Linked DNA regions of Mus musculus: region 2 is reported to be linked to region 1. Evidence: microRNA targets listed by miRTarBase, many of them from high-throughput screens and not tested one by one. Region 1 holds a microRNA gene; the other region holds the end of a gene's coding sequence.

Evidence for each region. Region 1 holds the annotated microRNA mmu-miR-9-5p (UCUUUGGUUAUCUAGCUGUAUGA, at 2,989-3,011, opposite strand). A microRNA usually pairs through its seed, bases 2 to 8, with sites in the 3' UTR of a target mRNA and lowers its output. Matches are read on the target gene's strand: a 7mer-m8 pairs with bases 2 to 8, a 7mer-A1 pairs with bases 2 to 7 and ends in A, and an 8mer does both.
Region 2: the mRNA of Tomm6 is a reported target of mmu-miR-9-5p. Seed matches in the 3' UTR shown: 7mer-A1 at 727-733.

Annotation. Positions count from the first base shown.
Region 1 is chr7:79,503,914-79,508,289 of GRCm38, reverse strand. Mir9-3 (microRNA 9-3) reads right to left here and starts at 3,026; the gene lies at 2,937-3,026. All of the region lies in intron 1 of Mir9-3hg (Mir9-3 host gene), which reads right to left. Gm51285 (predicted gene, 51285) reads left to right here and starts at 2,954; the gene lies at 2,954-3,011.
Region 2 is chr17:47,683,706-47,687,705 of GRCm38, reverse strand. It overlaps Tomm6 (translocase of outer mitochondrial membrane 6), which reads left to right. Exons shown (of 3, transcript NM_025365.3): 2 at 418-518; 3 at 698-1,061. The coding sequence ends at 514. It overlaps Gm20517 (predicted gene 20517), which reads right to left. Exons shown (of 9, transcript NR_157366.1): 9 at 967-4,000. It overlaps Usp49 (ubiquitin specific peptidase 49), which reads right to left. Exons shown (of 7, transcript NM_198421.2): 7 at 967-4,000. It overlaps Tomm6os (translocase of outer mitochondrial membrane 6, opposite strand), which reads right to left and starts at 96. Exons shown (of 3, transcript NR_045945.1): 1 at 1-96. It also overlaps a transcript of Frs3 not described here.

The DNA.
Region 1 (4,376 bases):
TTCCAACTGTACTTTCAGCCGGCGCTTTCAGGACCCACAAGCCTTTTCTTATAGAAAGAGACTAGTTAGTGCAAGTTGGAGCAGTGTAACCCAAACTTGGGCAGTCAGGCCAGAGAACGCTCAACAAATGGGACAGGATGGGTGGGGGGGAGCAAAGGCTGAGGACCCTCCAAGCTCCCCAAGGAAGCCATAGGCTAGCTAGGGAGGTTGATAAGGAACACAATTTTAAGCCTGTGTCTCGGGCTCCAAGGGTCCTGGGTGGGATTTGAACATCTCTCTGTTAGGATAAAATGGATGGGCTGGCACCCCTGAAAACCTTTTGTGGTGGGTGTGAGATAAACTCTGTGAATCAGAATCAGCAGACCCATTCCATCACCACCACCACCACCTCCTCCCTTGAGGCCCTCATCTTTTCCCTAAAGTGCAAGGTTTGTATCAGCAGATTTCCCCCTTCATAGAAAGCAGTAAAAGTCCTGCACTGTCTCAGGCTAGGACTCTACCTCCATGGGACTCCTAATGGGGGGACTCCAGCCTGCCTGGACGGCAAAAGAACCAAAGGCGACACACATTTGAACTACACCTAAGACACAGTCGTGAAGCTATGTGACCACCTTGGTGTAGGAAGGACTGGCTCTTACAAAAATAGCAAAGGAGAGGGGCCAGGGAAGAGAAGGCTCTGAGTACCGGGGCAGGCTCTGGGGAAGCCCCAGCCCATCCGTGAGACGTGGAGGCAGGGAGTGCTGGGCAAGCAGGCTGAGAGAGCTGCTCTGCTTTCCTCAGAAATGAGGTCACCACCAGCACACAGGCTCCCAGGTGCACCAGGAAGGGGGAGCAAGCCCAGTAGATGCAGTTGGGGGGAGGGAGGCTCCTGGGTCCTCAAACACGCGAGTGACCCTTCACAGGCCTAAGAAACGGGAAGGAAAAGATGAAAGGACCTCGAACCCCTTCCTTCCACCCAATGAGTCCCTGAGAAGGAGGCACAGAGACAGCTGCTTTCCTGCCACCGCGTTTAATTTTGTCTAACATTCCAAGGCAATGCAGTGAAAAACTCTCCATCTACCGTATGGAAGCCACACCTTGCCCCTCCCCAGACCCAGGAGGTTCTCCTTTGTATCACTGAATTTATTTTTACTTTTACACAAGTCACCTTTTTGTTGTTAAGATAATTTTGCTAAGCAAAGGGTGTGGGGGGGGGGGAGGAACGGCTGGTAGGCACAAAGATGGAAAAAGATTTCTATTATCACAAGGGGGCTGGGCAGGTTCTGGATAGAGGCTGAGAGACCAATCTTATAAATAACTAAGGCAAGAGGCTCTTGGGATTGAACTGGGCCAAGATGGAGGTAAGGTGACCTAGGTAGTGCCCACCTCTGCACTTCTGCGCTGTGTGTGCTACTCCCTAAGGAGTAGGCCCTCACCCCCCAGATCTGCTTCCTTAATATGTTCAAGGAAAAGAAAGCGGGTCAAGTCAGGATGGTAGCACTAATCCTTCCCAGTCAATCTGCTAAAGCATGTATACACTGATATGTGCCTTAAAGAACCCCAAAAGACCCCAAGCCTTAAGGTATGTGAACTGACTTTGGATCCTTTCTTCCCTACACTTGATAGGGTCCATAGCTGGGTCTACATCCACCACGCGGGAGCCCTAATGGTTTCCTAAGTTGCAGGGGGCCCCAAACTTCAAGATAAGGAAAGAGTAAAGGGAGTGGCAGGAAGGAGAGGGACCTGAAGGCAGAGAAACCTCAAAGGGACCTTCCGCTCCTTGTGGGGCTAAGAACCACGGACACAGAACATTGGCACGCCCCACTCGCAGCGCCCAGCTAAGAGGGACCTGGAGCTTGAGTGGCCGGTGTGCAGCATTGGGTTGCCATGGGAACGGAATTCAGATTTTTTCCCCCAATTGCTTTTTTATTTGCTAGACATTGTAATACATCTTATGTTGCCATTTATTGGGGCGGGAAGGAGAGGAGCTCCAGAGAGCCTGGCTTCCCCCTTAACCAGTTGGGGAAGTTGGGGAGGCTCCGGCCCCAGCCGTCCGACCAGAACTATAGAGGTTTAGAGGATCTGGGCTACGTCTCTCCCGCCCAGCAGCCTGCTCTTGGTTTGTATGCAGGGCAGGGCCGGTCGGTCGGGGCGGGAGGCCCCCCGCCTAGGCCCCTTGCCATTGAGTACACTCCCCGCCAGTTCTGCTCCGCTTCACGCTGCACACAGACCCCCCAACTGCACACAAAGGCAGCTGCCAGAGCCGGTGAAAAGTGATCAAATTATCAAGAACTTGACCTCACCGAGGGGCGAAGCTCCAGCAACCCCCCAGCCGTATGCTAATGGTGCTCAGGGGCTGACTCGTCGAATAATTCGATAAAGGCTGCATTGTTAGCGGCAGGGCAGCCCCCTGCCCACCCTTTTACTCCCCCTACACACTGCCTACCGGTCTCTCTCTCTCTCTCCTCTCTCTCTCTCTCTCTCTCTCTCTCTCTCTCTCTCTCTCTCTCTCTCTCTCTCCCCCTTCCTCTCTCTCTCCCTTCCTCTCTCCCTTCCTCTCTCCGTTCTCTTTCTCATCGCATTTGCATCCCAAAATCCTAGTCTGCAGCTCAGGGCGTGGATTGTTCTAGCCTGATTTATGGGGTGAAGGCAAAGGCTGGCGCCTTCCCCGCCAGCGACCCCTCTGCAACCCCAGCCCGTTCCCTGCCCCCAACCCACTCCACTTCGGGGTTCCAGCCTCGGCGCTGGGAAATGGTGATGGGGGTGCAGGGACCGAGGAGGAGGTGAAGGGAATGCCTCCAGGACACGGCAAGTGTCCCCAGGAGAGCCGAGGTCGGATACCTGGTCCCGGCGTGGCCGCTCCGTCGAGCTGGAATCCCTGGGTGGCGTGGGCTTCTCTGGGCTCCTCTGGCTCCTGTGGCCAGGGCGGCCGGCCGGGCCATCGCACGCAGAAGTTGTGAGAGTCATTTCTACTTTCGGTTATCTAGCTTTATGACGGCTCTGTGGCACTCATACAGCTAGATAACCAAAGAGAGAAACGGGCCTCCCATTCGCCGGCACCGCTGCCGCGCTGTGGGCCCCACGTGCCGCCGCCGACCCGGCGCGGGGGCCTGAGCGGACTCCGCTCCCGCAGCCCCGGGCGCACGCGGAGAGCCAGAGGGGACCGACAGACACACAGACACACGGACTCCCGCCACCCGGATCGCCCAGCTCCCTTCCTCCCTCGCCCTCGCGATTTCTCCATCCCCAGTTCCCCGTCCAGTGCGTGCGCGGCCCGCTTCGACGCCGTCCCGGGGCGCACTCGGGTAACCGGCGCTCTGCGCTTGGGCAGCCTCGGGCGCCCTGGCGGCCCCCAGCGCACTGGACCATCAGCCCTCCTCTCGCAGGCTAATCGCCCCGCGGGGAAGTGACGTCAGTCGGGGGATCGGCCTATCACGGGCTTCCATTCAAATCCCAGCCCCCTTCCCGCGCTCGGCACCACCCAGCCTTACAATGGCCTCGGCGTTCACGGCTTCTGCGCCGCGAGGACAGGGGAGCGCCTCTTCTGCCCTCAGAAGCCTTAGGCCTGCTTGCTTGGATGCACACAGTCTGGCCTTTCTCTCAAACCTCTCTGACCTCCCAGCAACGTCTTAGGTGCCTGGCAGCCACCGCAGACCACCAGAGTTAGAGTTTGAGGGAAGAGGTTTAAGGTCGAGGTCTCTCCAAGGCAACCAAGTGAGCGCAGGAGAGGCTGCGAACCGGTCACTTTATCCTTAAGGTCTCTCTTCCTTTTTTTTCTTGCCCAGCACTGTACAGACACCGCGGTAGAGACTGGGGATTAAGGGAAGGAGTGGGTGTCTAGATCAATGTATCCCATATATATTGCCTGACTTGTAGGGATTCCCATGGCATGCTTCGCTCAAACCAGGTCCTAAATGTCGGCACCAGATTGTTAGCCCTTTCCCTCTGACCATTCCTAGTACAGCCAAGGATATGTAATCAATTGTGCCCCTGCGCCTTAAAGATATCCAAGGCCGTAATTGGGCTCCTATTCACCTCCCATAAAAATAATCAGCTCCTGCCATCTTTCTGCTCACAGCACACCCTAGCCCACTTACTCCAAGTGACTTTACAGGGCAAAAGAATTGACATTTTGAGGTTTCACAGTAGAATTGAGCCTGGCCACCAAACTGAAGTCCCGTCTCAGTCTCCTAAACGTGGTGGTTTAGAGGTTGCTCACCTGAAACCCATCCTGTCTTCCTTGCTCCTGTACACCCCTCCCACTATGAGCCCTGATTCACCCCCTTCACCCATTCCTGGGAGGCAAAGGATTAAATATGAAAAATTCGATATCTCCTTCCCCCCCCCCCAGTCATCCCTAGAAAGATCTTAAATCCAAGATCTAGAGATTGACTTAA
Region 2 (4,000 bases), not on the chromosome of region 1:
TGAGGATTTGGGATCCATGGGACCCGCCGATCCATGAGACCCGCAGGGTACAAGAAGAGACCAACCCCTGCGGGTTGTACTGACCTCCACACGTGCGCTGTGTCGCGTGCACGCGCACGCACATACACAAATTAAAGAACGTCATATTTTTAAAGAAATCGCCCTAACCTAGAAGGCAGGGAAGGGGTGCCAACGCATAAGCAAATTTTAGCCCCCGCAGAGTACTAAGTTGGCCTTGGCTTGTGTTAGTAGATGCGAACGTAAAATTCTCATGTGCATATTAGGAGGACATACCCCTGTATCAGGTGTCAGTCAGCACCTCCAGAAGGTGGTGCTGAGAGGAAACTTGCCATAGTATGTCATTAGCTGCATGAGACTCTCGGACTGTAGGGTTAATGAAATGTATTCTTGACCCAGGAACTTGATCCTCAATTTGGGACTCTTTGCTGCGGGAGTCTGGCTGGCCAGGAACTTGAGTGACATTGATTTGATGGCCCCTCAGCCAGGGGTGTAGCCAGGTAAGACTTCACTTTCCCCTGCCTATTTCAGGAATCCTAAAAGATGAAGACAGCAGTATGTTCTGTCAGCTAGTCACAGAAGTAGGGAAGATTCTTGGGGTAAAGCCTTGCCCTTGTGTTTCTAGGTGAGAGCAGTTCTCCTGTGTTTCCCCGTTTCTGATGCTGTTATCTGCTTACAGAGAATGGAACTCCTGTGTATTCAGACTTTCCAAAGACAGCCTACTGTCTGTGACCACAAGATCCTACCTGAGTGGCAGCTGAAGTTGACTCCCTCTCCTTGCCTGAACCCCCCCCCACTGCCCCCCCATCCCCCAGTGTCGGCTGAGATGTTGCCTCTGCACGGTTCTGTGTGCAGTTCCCAACTTTCTGCAGAAGATGGTCCTTGCCCTTGTCCTGAAGAGTAGTAATGGTTCTTGAAAAAGATTTCAAATAAAGCCTGCACATAAAAGACAGGTATTTTATTCTTTTAATAAGAAACTTATTACAAAAACAAGGTGTAAAAAGTCCGCTTACAAAAATCAAATAAACATGACTTGTATTTCACACTCAAGAGACAGGCATGAGCCCCAAACATGATCTGCAGTGGAGATGAAATGGGAATGGGACCACCCACTTCCCAGGGATGCACACGTGCCGCAAAGCTGATTCTTGAGCAGTTCCTACTGCTGAGTCTTCCTGTAGGAAGAAGGTGGTGGTTGTCGTTTTAGTTTGCCAGGTGGGTTCTCCAGGGACCAGGGAGGCATTGTTGGGATAGAGTGAGACCTGGTGGCAGGAGTGGACAGTGATGTGTGGGTGGAGACAAACGTGTCAGGGAGCACAAGGAAGCAGCTTCCTTCACAAACAAAGGTGCTCCCTACCCTGAAATTCACACTGGTGCTGCTGTCTGGTGTTCTTCCAGGCACGCAGAAACCAGCACAGAAAGACTCCTGTACCAGGGAACCAGGTGGCGGTAGAGACGGGGTCTCCATAGTTTCATGTAGTCAATTGACTGGGTATTTTAAAACTTTTTTTATGCACCAGCCGCTTTGGAACTGGTTGTGGGTCACAGCATGCGTCGGAAAGGATTAGTGTGTCTGGGTCATAGCTGCATGACTGTTACAGATGTTACTTAAAAAAGGAAAAAGACAAAGCAGCTTTCCTGGACCTGCTGGCACATAGCTCATCCAGTCAGTTCTCTGAGGCCTACCAGTATAGCTCATTGCAGAAAAGGCTTCAATTTGACCTCCAGAAAATAATTGGGGTTGGGGGAGGCATAATTAAAAGTGTTTGTTTTTTGTTCTTTTGCGGGGGGGGGGGGGGGAGGGGGAGATATCTGGTTCTTGTGCTGGTCTGTAGTCCAGGCTGGCCTCAAACTTAGCTACATAGTTGAAGATGGTCATGAACTGCTTATTTTGCTGTTTCCATGAACCGACTCTTAGGATCACAGGTACAGGTTAGGATTCAAGGCTTTACTATGCCTGATTTTATGTGGTGCTAGCATCAGACTCTGGGCTTTATGCTTGCTAGGCAAGCACCCTACTGAGCCACGTGCCTAGTCATGCATAGGACGGGGGTTGCCATTCTCTTGTGAATCTTTAGCAGGTAGGACCTGAGTGGGGATGGCTAGGAGAAACACCCTATGAGGGAACTCAGGCCTAGAATTTACCCTGGGATTACAGATACTCTGAAGAGGCAGGCTGGAGGCCTGGTGGCACACACTTAATCCCAGAAGCTATGTATCTCTAAGGCCAGCCTGTCCTACATAGTGAGTTCCAGGTTAGCCAGGGCTACACACTGAGACTTCCTTTTTTAAAAAAAAACAATAGGGCTGGGGAGCCAGGGTCATGAGTATGAACTCGAGGACAAAGCTTGGGTTTGAAGCCATTACTTGCAGAGCCCCAAAAGGTGACCAGGAAGCAGCCTTGTAAACAGTGTGTGAGACTTAGAACCCACATGATTTTGGCTACACTAGGAAAGAGCAACTGATTTCTGGAGGAATAAAACCTTAAAGTGTGCCATGATCCCATAATTGAGCAGTTAATGACAAGATTTAAGTTAAAAGCCAGATGAGACAAAAACTTAAGACATGACAGCTTTCAGAGCTTAACTGAAGCTTCATTCAGAACCTAAGATTTAATTCCAAGTAACTTTACTGTTGTTCTTTGACGCCATGATGCTGGTTGGGCAGTTTCATTTAAGCTGGCTTAGTGGAGCTGGGTGAAACCCAGGGCCTCGAGTGCTAAGTGCTCTAGCAATGAGCATTTCCCCAGCTGCTAGTTGTATTTTTAAGTGAAAGATGCCAACTTAAGCATGGGCAGGTCTCACAAAGTGACCCCCCTGACTCATAGCTACTGAGCCTTGGTGTAGAGTGGAGCATGGGTTGACGGTACATCATAGTTACAGTGACAGACTGGATGGAGAGCAGAGGAATGTAGAAGAGAGGCGAAGCTCACAGTTCTGAGAAGGTGCTTTTCAGCTTTAGTATTGACAAAAATGACCCACCTGTGAGACCCACACTTAGCTGACAAAAAATCAAGTGACCCTAGAAAATTTCACCCCAAAGATAAAACTCTTCACCTAATTACTCTAGGAACGAAGCGAGGGACCCAGTTACCGCGTATGCTTTGCATGGTAAATTCATGAACACTTGGTGAAGTCTCACAAGTTCAACAGAAACTTCAAGCTTGGAGTGAAAGAACTGGCTGGGACTGGCCCTGACGAACACACTTGAGTCTCACTACCTTCCTCAGCCAGTCAGCACTGTCCAGGTTGTCATCTGCCCGAGAAGTGTTGAGGATGGTGGAGACGGGTCATTTCTCCATGATTCACTGCATAGTACACAGTGGCTTGTCTTACAGTCTGAAGGTTCACATGTGCGCATTGTTTTGACACTGCTTCCTGATGGTTCATGCAGAAGGACCCCAGTGTTAACGCAGACTCTACTGCCATTGGTCACCTAGCTTCATCGTGATTTAGAGAAAGCCTTTTCTCATCATTTGTGCTCTCCCAACTAACCGGAAACCCTTGCTCACATAAGCTGCAACGCCATATAGGATGTGATAGACATTCAAGAAAGGGTCACCCTCCAGAAAAGGCCAGCATAAATGTTAGGCATGAACAAAAGGCAGTGAACAACAGTGGTAGTAGTCAGACATTTGATGAATGATTGATTACAAATACAGTTTGGACAGTAAAACTCTAGAACTTGCTGGTAAGAACAATTTACATTCGTAATAAGACAAAGAAAGGAATGCTCTAAAAATCTGATAGCACGTATCCTTTAAACACTACAGACCCATAACGAAAAGGAGCCCTCCCCTTAACTCTCATGCAAACCACAATCAAGTACAAGGCACCAAATTTTATGAATTGTAGAAAATTAGTTCACAAAGCTTTATCAGTAAAACAAATATCAGATATCCTCCCACCCCCCGCCCCCAAAGTTTTCATTCTTCACCATGGACCTCTCGGCTTACTCGGGCACTGCCGGCCAGTCCACCTCA